Linked DNA regions of Lonchura striata. The protein of the gene in region 1 binds, or shares a complex with, the protein of each later gene. Links are inferred from orthologs where the notes say so. Each region holds a gene or a part of one and is shown on either strand. Other genes may lie near its edges.

What was found.
Region 2: the proteins of PLEKHM1 (region 1) and MAP1LC3C are in contact, whole or in part, in a crystal structure (PDB 5DPW), measured with the Homo sapiens proteins. The link is inferred for Lonchura striata from reciprocal best matches to the Homo sapiens genes PLEKHM1 and MAP1LC3C. Residues at the interface, in NP_055613.1 of Homo sapiens: Glu632, Asp633, Glu634, Trp635, Val636, Asn637, Val638, Gln639, Tyr640; in NP_001004343.1 of Homo sapiens: Phe13, Arg16, Lys17, Glu25, Ile29, Phe33, Lys36, Pro38, Asp54, Lys55, Thr56, Lys57, Phe58, Leu59, Val60, Pro61, Glu63, Leu64, Ile72, Arg76, Phe114.

Annotation. Positions count from the first base shown.
Region 1 is NC_134627.1:2,527,359-2,535,176, forward strand, and holds the start of PLEKHM1 (pleckstrin homology domain-containing family M member 1), read left to right. Parts: upstream 1-4,731; 5' UTR 4,732-4,761; intron 4,762-5,443; 5' UTR 5,444-5,871; intron 5,872-7,818. UniProt on the Homo sapiens protein: Acts as a multivalent adapter protein that regulates Rab7-dependent and HOPS complex-dependent fusion events in the endolysosomal system and couples autophagic and the endocytic trafficking pathways.
Region 2 is NC_134605.1:47,769,852-47,777,276, reverse strand, and holds MAP1LC3C (microtubule-associated protein 1 light chain 3 gamma), read left to right. Parts: upstream 1-4,927; coding exon 4,928-4,985; intron 4,986-5,067; coding exon 5,068-5,123; intron 5,124-5,242; coding exon 5,243-5,349; intron 5,350-6,347; coding exon 6,348-6,558; 3' UTR 6,559-6,884; downstream 6,885-7,425.

The DNA.
Region 1 (7,818 bases):
ATCTTCTTACCTTTTCTCCAAGCAGAAATCAGAGCACACAGAGATAATGGTCATGTTCATGGTTTTGTTATCTCTCTTCATTATCATTGGTGTGATGTTGAGAACCTTCTTCCACGTAAGTCAATATCTTGTTTGACACACAGCTGTCTGTCTTGTAGCTGCAGTGCCCAGATGCCCCTGTATTGCTGGGTAGCACAGGAGATGTTTTTCCAAGCCTGGAGCTTCTGGCAGCATCCACAGCACCCAGCTCAGCAGGGCCCAGCCTGCCTGGGGGAAGCTTTTCCTGCCTTCTCTCCCAGCTCTCCCCAGCTCTGCTTTGCTCTCCTGCCTTCAGCCACACAGCAATGAGAGCTTTCGTCCACTTCTGCGTGGAAGAGTTTTACAGGAAAACTGATGTTAGAAATCTCCCGTTTTCCATCCCCAGATGCGTTTCCTGTCCCATCAGGTTGACTCCACACCCGGCCACGCCAGGGAATCGTGGCTGAGAAGGTAAGTGCTCCCTGCCCATGCCACTGCTGTGCCACCAAGAGTCTTTCCTGCGCAGAGCAACTCCTCCTGGAGCCCCGCAGCCGCGCAGGTGCCGCTGCCTGGGACTCCCCCGGCTGTGTTTCCAAGACGTCGCGTTTGGGGGAGCCCCGGGAAAGCGGCTCCTGAGCGACAGCGCTGGGCACGGCCAGGGGCTCCCAGCCCAACCAGCCCTTCCCACATCAGCGCTGGGATGGATGCCTTGGGCTCCGGTGCACTCCCAAATTTCTGTGAGCACCAGCAATACCTCTGTGTTCCCAGAACGGTCTCCTCTGCTGATGCCTCTGCCCTGTTTTTCCCTGCTCCCTCCCCACAGTGGCTGGTGAGGAACTCACTCCCATCCTCTCCAGTTGCCTTTTGCATGCAGGGCTCATTCCCTGCATTGCCAGCCATTGCCATCCCTGCTGGGGCTCCCCATCTTCTTCCTTAGGCTCTGCCGACACACCCCTGAGCAGGAAGAGGTGCTGGCGCCTGCTGCAGCCCTCCCTGCCAAACCTCCCTGCTTACAGAGCAGGAGCAGGGCCCTCTGGGGATGGGATGTCCAGAAGCCTTTTTCTTCCCATTCACCTCGCTCACGCCATTGCTTTGCAGCACTGGAAATGGCCCTTCCCAACTCCTCCAGCAGCGGCTTCCCAGACAGGGCAGAGCACAGGCAGCCCTGTTGCCCACAGTCTCCATCAGCAGCTGCTTTCTCTGTTTCTCCCAAATTTCCCTTTCTGATTTTTTCAGGTTCTGTGTAAAACTTCCACAGAGAGGGAGGAAGGATATGAAGGAGGCACAGATTGTAGAGCAGGAAAGGGCAGGGAGCCCCTCCGAGTGTTGCTCCTGTTTCCCTCCTATTCATGGCTCTTCCCAGTGTTGCTCCCCATTTAGGAAATCTGAATTGCTATGGATTCAACGTCTCAGGGATGCCTATGAGTACCAGAGGAAAACTTCCCAGGAAGACATGGAAGAAGTGTGAAGAAGTAAGGAGGAAGACTTTGAAGAAGTTAATGCGATGCCAGCAATTTTTCACCTCCCATTTTAGCTGAGGCTCTCCTTCCATGCTGTTTCGTTGGCTGTTCTTATTCCCTTAGATTCTTTTTCCTTGTCTGTTATTTTCATGCTGTTAATTTCATACTGAGGGAAGGCCAGAGGGTGCTGCAGGCAAGCACAAGCTCTGGACACCCAGAGGAGGCATCAGTACCTCTGGGTTTTCCTCATCCCATGTGGCAATGTCCTTCCTGCATTCAATAAAAACCAAGTTTGTCCTTGTTCCTCCCGGTGTTGCCGATGTCTTTGTAAAAGCAGTTTCTGTTCTCCTTCATGCAATTGGCCAAATTCAGTTCCAGCTGGGCCTTTACTTTTCTACCTTTCTCCCTGCGTGCCCCAATGACATCCCTGCCATCCTCCTGTGGTGCTGCCCTTCTTCCAAAGCTGTAAATGGTGTGTTTTCCCCGAGTCCCAGGCAAAGCTTCCTGCTCAGCGGCTCTGCTTCCTCACCAGCTCATCTTTGGGCATACAGGCACAGCCTGTTCCTGCCTTTGCCTTCAAGGATTTCTCCTTTCACAATGTCCAGCCTCCCTGGACGCCTCTGCCCCTCAGGACAGTGTGCCCAGGGAGCCTCTCAAACAGTGTGGCTGGACTGTCTCTCCCTGGGCTGCCCCCCCAGCCTGGATGGATCTCATCCACATTGTGACTGTCCCCACCCCAGAGGCCCAGAGCCTCCACCGTGTTGTGTAGAGGGAGCTGGGAAGGTGAGATGGGCCAGGAGGGGATTCCCCTGCTGCCCTCAGCAGGGACCTCTTTTTATTCCCCCTGTCTTTTGGCTCCCCTCCTTCTGCCTGCTGCCAACACCCTTGGGCATCCTCGACTTCTTGGATGTGTCTGCCTGGGACATTTGTCCAATGGCTGCTTCAGAGTGGCTCCAGCAGTCCCTCTCCCTCTCCCACTCCCTGATACTCCTTATCTTTCCACTTCCCCCTTTCAGCTCTGCCACACAGCTGAGCAGAGCATGCACCTGGTTGTTCCTCACCCAGGTGTTATTTCTACCAGCCTCAGTGCCAGTGCCTAGCTCCAGCACTCCCTGTAGAGTTTTCCCTTTCCAACGAGGCCTTCCAGGATATCTCTTTGGATATCAAAGAGGCTTTACAGTAGTGCATCAAGAACATCCCAAGGCCACTGTAGCTTTCCAGGGTCAACACTTTTGTGTTCCAGATGTCTCCTGTGAGCACAAGAGCTCTGGGTGGATAGCTGGGAAGGGGAATGGCCGGTGTCCTCCTGCAGAAGCCATGGCACTGGTGTCCCCATGGTGCTAGCTTGGAGCTGCACAAGCAGCATTGTCCCCTCTGCACCCCAGAGGTTTTCCCCTCATCCTCGTTCCCTCTTCCTCCCTCACACCTGCCTGGCTCCCAGGCTGATGGTTGCATGGTTTCCATTTCTGATGCCCCTGTACACGCTTGAGAGCTGAACTGAGTGATGGCAGAGATCTTCCCTTGGTGGCCCTGGGAACCCCTGGAACGCACACAACGTCTTCTGGGGTTCTTTGAAAAGCTGTAATGGAAAGGAAGAATTACAATGCAGAGGATGTACAGCAGGTGAGGTCTGGTAGCATGTGCTTCCCACTCTTCCTCACCTTTCCAAATCCTTCCTTTGCACTGTGCTTTCCAGGTTCTGCCTATTTACAGACAATTCACACCCAGTGTTTTCCCAGTCAGTTGAAGGGAGTAGGAAAATCTCTTCCTCCACATCGCAGTACCCTGCATTGCACAGCTCAGTCAGGGATTCATTTTCCTTGGAATCAAGAGCCTGCTGTTACTTTTAGTACAGGCAATGCCTGCACATCTTCTTACACTTGTTCTGGTGTAGGAACTGCTGAGGCTTTACTTGGATACTGCTACTTTGGTGGCTATATCCCAGGATATTTCCTTGGATCCCAGTTCTTTAGCTTTTGTTTCCTTGTCATTTACTTGGCCTTATTTTCTTGGATAATACCTCCTTGCACACAATATTCTTGGCTTTTTCCTTAGTACTCTTTCCTTGACTATTTCCTTGAATTTCCTTTGCCGTTATGTCCTTGCCTTTATTTCCTCAGATGTTGTTTCCTTGTTGTCATTCCAGATGGAAGAAGCCTAAGGAAATGCTGCTACTGAAAGACAAGATGCTCCTGCCTGGGCCCTGCCCTGCATCCAGCACCCCAAGATCTCAACTGCTGACTCCATGACCACTCTCTGTAGAGGAAGATGCTGCTGGTGGGTGCCATGCTTAGGACACCCCAAAGTCCCCTGGGGACTGGGACAAGGAGGATCCAGGAAGGCCCGGGTGTCCCAAGCACTCACTGCAGCCCAGCCTCTGGAGCCACAGCCTTTCTGGGGCCATGACATCCTGGAGGCACCCTGCACACATGACAGGGTTCAGAAGTATCCAAATGTCTGTCTAGGTGTGTCCACGTGTGTGTCCAGCTGTGTCCAGGTGTGTGTCTATGTGCGTGTCCATGTGTCCAGCTGTATCCAGCTGTGTGTCCATGTGTGTGTCCAGCCGTGTGTCCAGATGTGTCCATGTGTGTGTCCATGTGTGTGTCCAGCTGTGTCCATGTGTGTGTCCATGTGTGTGTCCATGTGTGTGTCCATGTGTGTGTCCAGCTGTGTCCAGCTATGTCCATGTGTGTGTCCAGCCGTGTCCATGTGTGTGTCCAGCTGTGTCCAGCTATGTCCATGTGTGTGTCCAGCTGTGTCCATGTGTGTGTCCAGCTGTGTCCATGTGTGTGTCCATGTGTGTCCAGCTATGTCCATGTGTGTGTCCAGCCGTGTCCATGTGTGTGTCCATGTGTGTCCAGCTATGTCCATGTGTGTGTCCAGCCGTGTCCATGTGTGTGTCCAGCTGTGTCCAGCTATGTCCATGTGTGTGTCCAGCTGTGTCCATGTGTGTGTCCATGTGTGTCCAGCTATGTCCATGTGTGTGTCCAGCTGTGTCCATGTGTGTGTCCATGTGTGTCCAGCTATGTCCATGTGTGTGTCCAGCCGTGTCCATGTATGTGTCCATGTGTGTGTCCATGTGTGTGTCCATGTGTGTCCAGCTATGTCCATGTGTGTGTCCAGCCGTGTCCATGTGTGTGTCCATGTGTGTGTCCAGCCGTGTCCGTTCCCCGCGCGGTGCCCGGGGGCGTGGCCTGGAGCTCTCGGTGCCGCCCCGCGTGATGACGTCACGCGGACGGGGCGTGCGCGCTCCCGGCACTTCCGGGTTTCCCGGCCGGAGCCGGTGAGCGGGGCAGGCGCCGGGGGCGCCGGGGGCACCGGGGCGGTGGGGCCTGGCAGGAGGGGCGGGCTGGGCGCGGCCCGTGCGGTGCGGTGCTGACAAGGGCTGCGCGGGGATGAGGGCCGTGGAGTGCCGGGCGCTGGGGATGCAGAGTGACGGGGTGTGTGGAGCGGTGCGGGGCGCTGGGGCCAGCCGCGGTGCGGGCCGTGGGGTCTGGCAGGTGGCGCAGGGTTTTGCGAGCCCGGGGAGCGCTGCTCCCCCTGCTCTGCACGGCTGGTCAGGCCCTGATCCCTCCCCAGCCGCCCCGATGCCCCCGCAGCCGCCCGTGCCAGGCCCCGCACGCCTGGGCTGCGCTGCCCAGCCAGCAGCCTCGGCCTCTCATTCCTCCTCTCCGTGTCCCCCATGGGGGAACAGCGGGTCAGATGTGCCTTTCCGAGGGGCCCCACTGGGGGTTGGTGTCTGGTCCTCAGTTCACCCCCACGAGCGCTGACACCCCAGATCTCTCGGCCCGTTCCTCCCACTAGCCAGAGATCCCAGCACCTGTGGGATTCTTACAGCTTTCCCTGATTTATCATGTGTTACATTCTCAATATATCATATCAAATGAGCAGTTGCAAACAAGATCTGGTTAAGTCTTGTCTAAAACGCAGAGATTAAAAGGCCCTTTCCTCTGCCTACCTTGCAGCAACCGCCGTCCCCTGCTGGGGATGCGAGCCACCCACCCATCCGGATGGCACCAGGAACATCCACGGGGAAACTCCAGCGCTGGCAATCCAAAGCAACACAAAAACTGGGAATAGAAACTTGGGAACATCTTGCCTCAACACGCTGGGGCTTTCACAACCTGCTTGGCCCGTGCATGGTGGCTCCAGTGGCTGCAGTGCCACGGAAAACCAACCGCAGCTCTCCCTGCAGCTCCAGCAAATTGTAGCCTGGTGCAGAAGCAGGTATTAGGCTGAAGGAAATTCCCAGTTTGGAGCATTTGGGAAGCACAGTCTCGCCGTCCAGGCTGGTAGCTCAGTGGCTGCTCTTCCTCCCCTGGCTGCTCCTGGGCCCTGCAGGGCAGAAGCTGGACAGGTGTATTGAAGGTGACACTTCTCCAGCCACCACCAGGTTTGTCAGCTGCGATAAATAGGGACAAGGGTGGTGTGATGGTGCCATTCCTCACTCCGTGCCTGTGTTCCTGCTGTGGGAATCACAGCACTGCTCCATCACTCTGGGCACAGCGAAGGAGCCAAAGTCAGACCATGAGGATCCTGCTGGGGCTCTGTCATGTCCTAGCCCTTGCTGAGCTGTTCCCAGGGGTTTTATCTTCCAACCAGCCAATGCCCATGCCATGCCACTGGCTTTCCTGCTCCTGGGCTGTCTCTGTGCCCAGCTTGTGCTCAGCTCTGGCTGGAAAGCAGGAGCTGTGTTGGAGGAGAGGGCTGTCCCCCCAGCAGCCCTTGAACCAACTGTGCCATCAGAGCCCCCATGTCCCTAGGGCAGAGGGTGACTGGCACAGTACTCGTGCTTGGAAAATGACTGGCTCTGTGTCCAGGGCTTGAGTCACCCTCACGCTGCCGTCGTGGGCTGTTGTTTTCCATCCCAGAGCACAGGCAGTGACCTGCTGTTTATTTATAACTCACAGAGCGTCGCTTCTTGGGAGACCGAGGAGCCAAGCTCTGGGACAGAAGCTTGCTCTGCTGGTATGAACCTTGCTTCCAGCTGTTTCCAAAGAATCTGGCTGGTTTGCAGCAGTCTGGGGAATCAGCAGCTCTGCCCTTGCACCGTGACTCTTCTCCTGGGTAGGTCGGGCTCCGTGCCTGGGGTTGTTCCTCACCTGTTTGCTTTTCCCTGTTTCACCCAGGAGTCCCTGGGGTGGTGACTGCTGGGAAACCTGGTGGGTTTTCTCTACTGTAGCTGTGCTTGTCTCTGTGTTTGTACATCCATCCCATCTCTTCCAAGATCACAAGGAACAGCCGTGGCTTTCCAGGATCTGCCTGGAAGTGCTCCAGAGTTCTCTAGGTCTTCCTAGACCCAGTGCCCTGTTCCAATTCCCCTGTGTTTCACCTAAGATTTTGTTTGGTGAAATCCTCCTCAGAGCTGCTTCCCTGCACTTGTTATTCAGGAAAATGCTGTCCCACAGAAGTGGTGCCATGTGGATTCATGGTGCTGGAATAAACTGGTTGGACTGGTCGTGGTGGGAGTGGAGAGTCCCATGGTGAAGGTGGCGGGTTGTCCTCAGCTCTCATCTCCTGCAGGCTCTCATCTCCTCATGGGAGAGGTGATGCTGGCAAAGGAGAGTGTTTTCGGGGAATAACTCTCACTTTGTAAAACTTAGACAAGGTCTTTGTAAAATTTAGATGAAGTCTTTGAAAAACCTCTGCTGTCACCCCTTTCCCTGTGACCAACTCAGGACTCCGGGGTGGGCTTGGAGCTGGAACACCTGTGCTGCCTCCCTGGGCATGAGAAATGCCACCCTGTGCCCCTCCTGAAGTCTCCCACCCTGGGGTCTCGCCCTCTGATCTCTCTCTGGTCTCTCACCCTTGAGTTTTCTCCCACACCTGGGTGTTCTCTCACTCTTGGATTTCCCAACCTTGACTCTCCCATCCTTTGGTCTCCCACCTTTATTGTCCGGGTAGGATGTGCCTCTTGTCCTCAGGGTGTAGAAGGAAGTGGTAGGGAAAGGGGCAGAGGTTCTCCAGCCCTGAGGAGCTGGAGGCTCCCAGGTGGAAGGCAGAGATGGGGGTGGCTCCCTGCGGTCCTTGTCAACCACTGCTGCCACTTCAGGGGCCCCTCACTTCCCCAACCCCCCCAGCAGCCCCTGAGCCCATGGTTAACTTTCCTGTGCTCTGCCATTTCTGTGTTGCAACACAAGGAGAGGAAATCTTATGACAAGCCACAGCAAAAGCAGTTTCGTTTTCTCTGAAATTGTCTGTGAACCCTGGAAACATTGAGGATCTGTCCTGGGTTTGGCCCCCAAGAAGTTCTTGTCATACTGCTCTCAGCAGGGCCAGCTGCTGTGGTACCTGCACACGATGCTCTGGGTCGGGGGTGTTGACAGGCCTAGGATGTCTG
Region 2 (7,425 bases), on another chromosome or scaffold:
ATTCTTTGGAACCTCAACAGGGAGGACAGGAAAAGTCTGCAATAAAGCCAAAGACATCCTATCTGAAAAGAACTGAACTACATTGGACAAAATACTTTAAAGCCCTGCATGGAAGAAAAAAACACTTCAAACATTATTATGATCATATTTGGACAAAGAGTAAGTTTTATATCCATATTTGCAGAGCAAGTGATGCTGTTGCTTCTCACCAAGGCACCAGCATCAAGAGCTGTACTCATAGTAGGAGCATTATTAAAACCAGCAAACCAGAGTGCAAATGTTCTACCAAGTCAAACAGCAGACACAGCAAGATAAGAAAGAAATTGTGCCCATAATTCCAGTCCACAAGAAGAACACTGCTTTAGTTTCACAAGGAAATTGCCTAGTAGCAACAATATCAGTTCTGTTTTTTCTGTAGACAGAAAACAAAACACATTGCATTTTATTAGTGGTAATAAGAGAACAGATGATAGGAAAGGAAGATCCAATAATGCTTTTTCCTCTTTAACATTTGCCTAGACCTTGAGTTCAGCCCCTGTATGTCAGGATCCATCGCTGTACGGGCCACCAATTGTCAGCATTGGTGCTTGGCAGTAACCAATGGTAGATGGTAACTGACTGCCACTGTTAGTTTATTATCTTACTGTAAGACTTTCATACCTTCTCCCTGTGAGTTCTCATGGGCAGTTCTCACAACACTGGCTCCTTTTCCTTCCACACAGCTGCCTGACCCTTTCTCATCACAGCCAAGTGACTCCAACTCTCCCTCAACCAGCTGAGCCACTCTTTTATAACACCCATCCTTACTGGACACAGCTGTGACATATTAAAGGCAAGGCTGTTCCTACTCTTTGGTAATTAGTACAGCTGCAACTCATCAGGGGCAAGATTGCCTTCAGCACTGTCTCTATTCTCTCACAATCCATTCTCCCACACCTGTAGGGCAAAAAGCCAGTGAACCACTGCTACAGCAGGAAACAGAAAGTCAAAGATGTACTTGCAGGGGCTGTGACCAACAGGTTGCCAGCTCACACCAGCTTTTCTCAAAGAGAGTAACTGATTTATTTTTGGCTTTATGTCTAGTCAGAATCACCAATTTGAGTAACCCTTGCTGAAAAATACTGAAAATTTAGGTCTCAAATTCTTGTAAAATTTAAAATGCTAAACTATGAGCACTTATGTGTGAAAGAACTTAAAACACTACTGAGGATACACCACTAGAGCTCAGCTCTTTCAATATGGTTGAAAATTCAGCTAATTAATATTGAGAGCAATTTTAAAAATCTTGAAATGAAAGAGCACAATGAAGAGAAAAGTACAACTGGTGCACTTTAATCCAAATACTAGTTTAAAGAAACTATTCCATCACAATGAGCTGAATACCAGGCATACAGGCAAAGATAAGAGAGAACTATTGAGTCTAACTGAAGTTTCTTCTGTGGAAGAGACATTTTAAGATCAAAATCTCAAGCTCTGGTACAAAACAGTAATGTAATCTCTGGTTTAAAAGTATCATAAATAATTTCTAATCCTTGTGGCTACACCAAGAGATCATCAGTTATGATGTAGGTTCAATATAAGAGTTCAAAAATCAAGAGATAAAGAAAAAGAGCCAAAAGTACATATAAACCCTAGTCAATCAAGTGAGAAATACCACTGCTGACCTTGAAATTTATCTCAGCATTTTGAGACAAGTTTATAATCTGAGTCTTATTAGTGGGTGACCTTGGACCAAAATCATACTACAGTACTAAGCATCGCCTTAAACATAATAATACTCCAGCTAACTTTTTTGGTATAAAGACTTATGAATTCACAAATTTAGTTACTGGCACACAATAACTTCAGGCTTATCCATAAGAGTGGGCTTGCTTCTGTGTCACAGGAGGACATACAGACAGATTCAGAGTTGCAGAAGAAAGAAGTAAGTAAAGGATTCCATATCTGTAACTACCTGTGTTCAGGAAACATGCAAATATTTAGGATGGCTCTTTGAAAACCCATTAAATTGGTTGGCTGAGCCTGACTGCTTGAGGGCTCTTCAAAACCTCCTGATTATTTTCACTTTCAACCTCATGGTTCACTTACAACCCCCATGGAAACATGTATTTAAGATAACTATGCATAATACTGTAGAACTTCACAGGCTTTCGCAGAGCGACAAATAAGCCCTCATTTTGCCAAGTCACATTTTTCCCCTAAGAACATCATGCTGCAGTTTCTCTTGCTATTCAGTTAGGTTGCTTAAATAATCTCAGTCCTTATAGCACTGTATCATTCATATTTAAATTATTAGTCTACAGATAACTTGAGCCTTACATCCACAGTATCTCACAGATCCAGATGAAAGCAGTGCAAGTCTCACAGCATTTGCAAAAAGTAGATGGCTGCTTTTGGCTAAATTGTTGACTCCCTGGGACACATTGGAGTGTTTGAGAGCACTTGCAGAGCAGATCATTTCAATATGGAGACAGTGGACACATGAGAACTCAATCACACAGCTGCAGACCTTGGGCTTTGGAAGAGGCTATGGATGTGGCAATGAAACAACTAGATAAGATACAGAACTCTGACTTTGTCCTTTAATGTTTGGGGACTTAAGGATGCCTGTAAGTGCTGGCTTTGGACATTCGAGCAGGTAGAAACTTTTGTCCTTCCATTTCTGTATCAATAGTATCCTCTGAGTATTCCATTCTCTACACAAAATTGCTCTATCAGCTCATTAATTATGTGCGTGTAAGAAAAACTTCCAAAGGAAAGGATGTAAGAAGGAATAGATTCCACATTTAGGTCTGAAACTGAGTATTTCACTGCAGAAGCAAGTATAGGTGCTATGCAGGCACATTAGACATCCCATTCTCTCTACCTCCAGAAAATTATTAATTAGCACATGCTAATTAAAGCCTGGGTTTATGCTCACTCTTAACTCTCACAGACATTAGAGCCATAACTGATCACCAGGCTTGCTAGGAAATCATCTTTTTGGCTCACCTTCTTACCAGGTTTTCACTTTCCTTTCCAGATGCTGCCATAGGAGTTTATGAACATGAAAAGAAACCACCTCTCCCTGCAAACAAGGCAGCTGATACCTGGGTGGAGCCACACTTTTGTACTTCACCTGCAGTGAGAGGTGACACAGGAAGCAGAGCATGGGTATAGATAGCAGGTTCCCTCTTCTCTACACAAGGTGGATCACAGCTCTTTCTACTGAATCTACTAGGTAGAACCAGAACGAGGGTGTGGGAAAACCGATACACTTCCTGAACAGCTTTGGAAAGCCCCATGCTTGACCACAGTTCCAAAGAAACACTCTGTGATCTCCACACATCCTCCTGTCTCCTACAGGCTTTGTTCCTGTGCTGTCCATGCAGTTTCTTTACTCTTCAAATTATTCCTATTTTCCTTCATCTTCTTAGATACAACTCACCATACTGAGTTAAGGCACTATGTCAATTCTCTGGCACACATCCTCCTTCACTTAGCCTTCCTCAGTCTCTCACCTCACCTCTATTCAAAAACCCTTAAACTAGACCTAGCTACTCTAAGCCAATCCCTGGGCTTACCTCCCCTCATGCAAAGATCAAATCATAGGGATGAGCTGGACTCAAACCATTCTAGCATAGGCTCAAGGCCTTTCTCAAAGTTCAGAGCTCTTGCCTATGAGTCCCTCAAAGCCAAGTATCTACTCTGCAAAATAAAATTTGTGCTGCCACGTGGGGGAGCTTGTGCTGTGGCTGATGCTCATCGCTTCCAGATCAAGAGAAAAGGACAGCTCAGCAGCCTTAAGGACTGCAGCCACTGCAAACTCTGTTCTGGAGAGGCTGTTTGAAAAACCTGACACGTGTAGATAGTACACAGACACTTTAATAAAGACGTTCCTTTTCAAAATTATCTTGGGTGACAGTAATTGACTTTGCCATAGCTTGTAAACTGTAAGTTGTAAAAATTTGCAAATTCTAGTTGCCCTTAACCTGGTAAAATAATAGAGTTTAGACTGGAAAATACCTGTAAGATCCTTGAGTTTATCCATTAACTAGCACTGTCAAATCCATCACTAAATCACGTCCCTAAGCACCATATCAACTAGATCATGATCAGAATGATAGATAAAATAAAATGAAAATTCCTATATTTTAAAGGGATAAGCAAAGCAAACAAGTAATAGGGCTCAGTTCCAGACCCCCACTGAGATGATTTATAAACACAACCACCAGACTGGAGTCAACTTTAGCCCTTGCTGAGCCATCTTCATCTGCAAAGCCGTCTTGACAGCTGAAGCAAACTCAGGTGAACCAGCAATCCAAAAGGCAAGGAATCATACTTACCAAATAGATGGACTTGAAGTCTTCTTGAAACCCCTTAAAATCACAACTGTGCCTCAGAGACAAAACCAGAGCTAAAACTCAGCTCTCGAGAAAATAAGCAGTCTGGTAGCCTGAGGAGATGAAAAATGACAGGGGCGGGTGGTTGGGTTTTTGGGTGGAGGTAGTTTTTTTTGTTTGCTTTTGGAGTTTTTTGTGTACGTGGAGTAGATTGTCTCGTTCTCTTTTCAAACCAAAGACATCGCTTGAAAGCTGTTTGTCGGTATGAAGAAGGCTGCTCACGTGGAAAGGGAAGACAGCTGGGGGCCACTCCAGCCGTGAGCTGCACCCCTGAACCACTGGGCAGGCTAGACCAAGCCCTCTCACGAAGCACGGCAGCGTCCCGGAGCCAGAACAGCGCGCTGCGGGGCGGCCGGGAGGGGCGGGCTCGGCGGCCGCGCCTCCCCCGGGCGGGGCGGGGCCGGGCGGTCCCGGGCCGGGCCGGGCGGGGCGGGGCCGGGCCGGGCGGGGCGGGGCCGGGCCGGGCGGGGCGGGGCCGGGCCGGGCGGTGCCGCTCCGTGCGAGGCGCGGGCCGGCGGGCGCAGCGGCGGCCCCGAGGCGGGAGGATGCGGGCGGCGCCCGGCGCGCAGCCGGACCGGCCCTTCAAGCTCAGGAAGAGTCTCGGTAGGGGCGCCGGGGGCGCGGAGGGCTGCGCGGGTCGCAGGGGCTGCGCGCACACGTAACGCTTCTCTTCTCTGCCCCGCAGCCACCCGGCGGGAAGAAGTAGCAGGGATCCGAGCCAAGTTCCCGACCAAAATCCCGGTAAATCTCTGGTTTGTTATCGGAGCTTGTTGCCGCTGTTTAAGGAAAGAAGCGTGTGAGGGGAGGGAAAAGGATATGGATATTTTAGGTTTTGCTAAGTGTGACTCTAATTAAAACAGGTAATTGTTGAGAGGTACCATAAAGAGAAATACCTTCCTCTCTTGGACAAAACCAAGTTTCTGGTTCCCGAGGAGCTGACCATGGCACAGTTCATAACCATCATCAGGTGGGTAGTGCATACTACTTGTTTGGATTTGCACCTGGACTTGGCTGCTGTTCCCAGGGAAGGTATTTCCTAGTGTGCTGCTGGGGACATCTTGCTTCCTTTGGTGGGTGGGAGGATAACACTAAAGGTGTTAGTAGTGTAATGGCTTCCTTCTCTTGCAAGTGTTTGAAGATAATAAACAGATGTTTTCATAGGTGCATTTGTGTGAAAAATGTGGTCTTTTTTGGGTTCATAGTCCCCTCCCTTCTCTGTAATTGTAGTGAAAAAAGACTATGTAAGACTCTTGTTCTGCTCTTTTCCTGCCTCATGGACTTGATACTGGGGCTCTGTGATCTTGTTCTGCTTATGACTCCCACTGCCTTGCTCTCTTAGTGCACCTAGCTGAATTAGCTTAAGTTCAAAGCAGCTCTTGAATGTGAGCAAAATGAAATGTTCTAAATTATTCTTTGTGAAACAAAGTCGCCCAAAATACTCAGTGGTATTTTCTGACAAAATGTGAAAGCTATGTTTTTCAGCATACTTTTTGAAGTATAGAAAAAGATCTTTCTAGATTGTAACTTCTGTAAAAGATGCTTTTGGCTCTTGGTCAACTTAGATTGTAATCCTTGCATGTAATGTCTCTGAAAAAGACTTGTTTTTTGAAGGTAGACTTTATAGTAAATGTAACAGACTGGAGCTGGACTCCTTTACAAAATCTGCACTATGGAAGCTTTTGGTTTCTTCTTTGGTTACTCACACTTTTTCCTGGTAACTGGGATCTCCAAGCTCATGCTCGGTAGCACCTTTGGTGTAGCCATGTAAGCCTTTCCTCAGAGCACAGGCCTTTGAGCTTCCAGTTAAGTTCCTGCTGATGGAAGAATGTAACAATAACTTTACACAGCATTTCTTGTACCTACTTCATGCAACTGCTCTGCTTAATGCATGTCATAGACTGAAGTTGAAATCATATTCAGCTTGCTAATGTTTAATCCTCTTTTTCTCCTCTCTTTTTCAATTAGAAGTAGGATGGCTCTTACAGCTACACAAGCTTTCTACCTGCTGGTGAACAACAAAAGCCTAGCCAGTATGTCCTTGACAATGGCAGAAGTGTACAGGGACTACAAAGATGAAGATGGCTTTGTGTATATGACCTATGCTTCCCAGGAGATGTTTGGATGCTTATTACCCACTGCCCAAGGGAAAACCATGGAATGCTTTCAGAAAATCTAAGATTGGGTTCATATGCTGCAGCAAAGCAGTTTGCTCTGAATCATGCCTGTGACATGAACCTCGGAGATACTCCTTCCAGTGTGAGCTCTTGAGCTCTGTAGTGGGAGTTATGATCCAAAAGCTGGCAGGACCAGCTTAAGACAGAAATGGTGGTACACTTTCCTTAGGTAATAATTTGGATATATATTTTTATATTTGAAGACACTATGGGTTAGGTTTTTTTCTTTTGAACTGCACCTCCACTGCTTTGCAATATCAGTCTTTGTTGTCAAACTGATTTTTAAGGTTTCCTGAAAGCCTAAGAGAAAAATAAAGAACCTTTTAAGTATTGAGTTGAATATTATTTTTAATCTGGGGAAAGACTCTAAAAATTTGTCTAGGAGAAGCTCCTATAATAATTTTGGGAATCAATGCTTTTTAAATGAAACACTGCTTGCACAGCTACTCTGAACTTTTGAACAAAGTATCAGTTTTAAGTTGTGTCACCCATGAGCAAAGCCATAGCATGAAAAGTTCATTAAGATAGGTATCTGGGCTGTGAGATTAAGTAGTAGTGCCAGAGCAGTGTAGAGTTTAACACCCAAATAAACTGTCAGCTGTTACAGAAAACACTCTCTGTGGTATAGATAACTATTTAAATAAGCAACCTGATTGCTAATTAGCATAACTGAAATGCAGATAGCAGGATTTGAATGGTAATAAAGTTTCAAGAGTTATTTTCTTGCTACTGAATTTTGCTAGCATGGTTACTCTAGATACTGTCATATCCATTCCCCTACAGGCATATCCTGAAGGACTTTGGTGAGCCTTCTCTCAAAAACAGAGACAAATCATGTACTTTGTGATTAAGAGATATTCCAGTGTTTC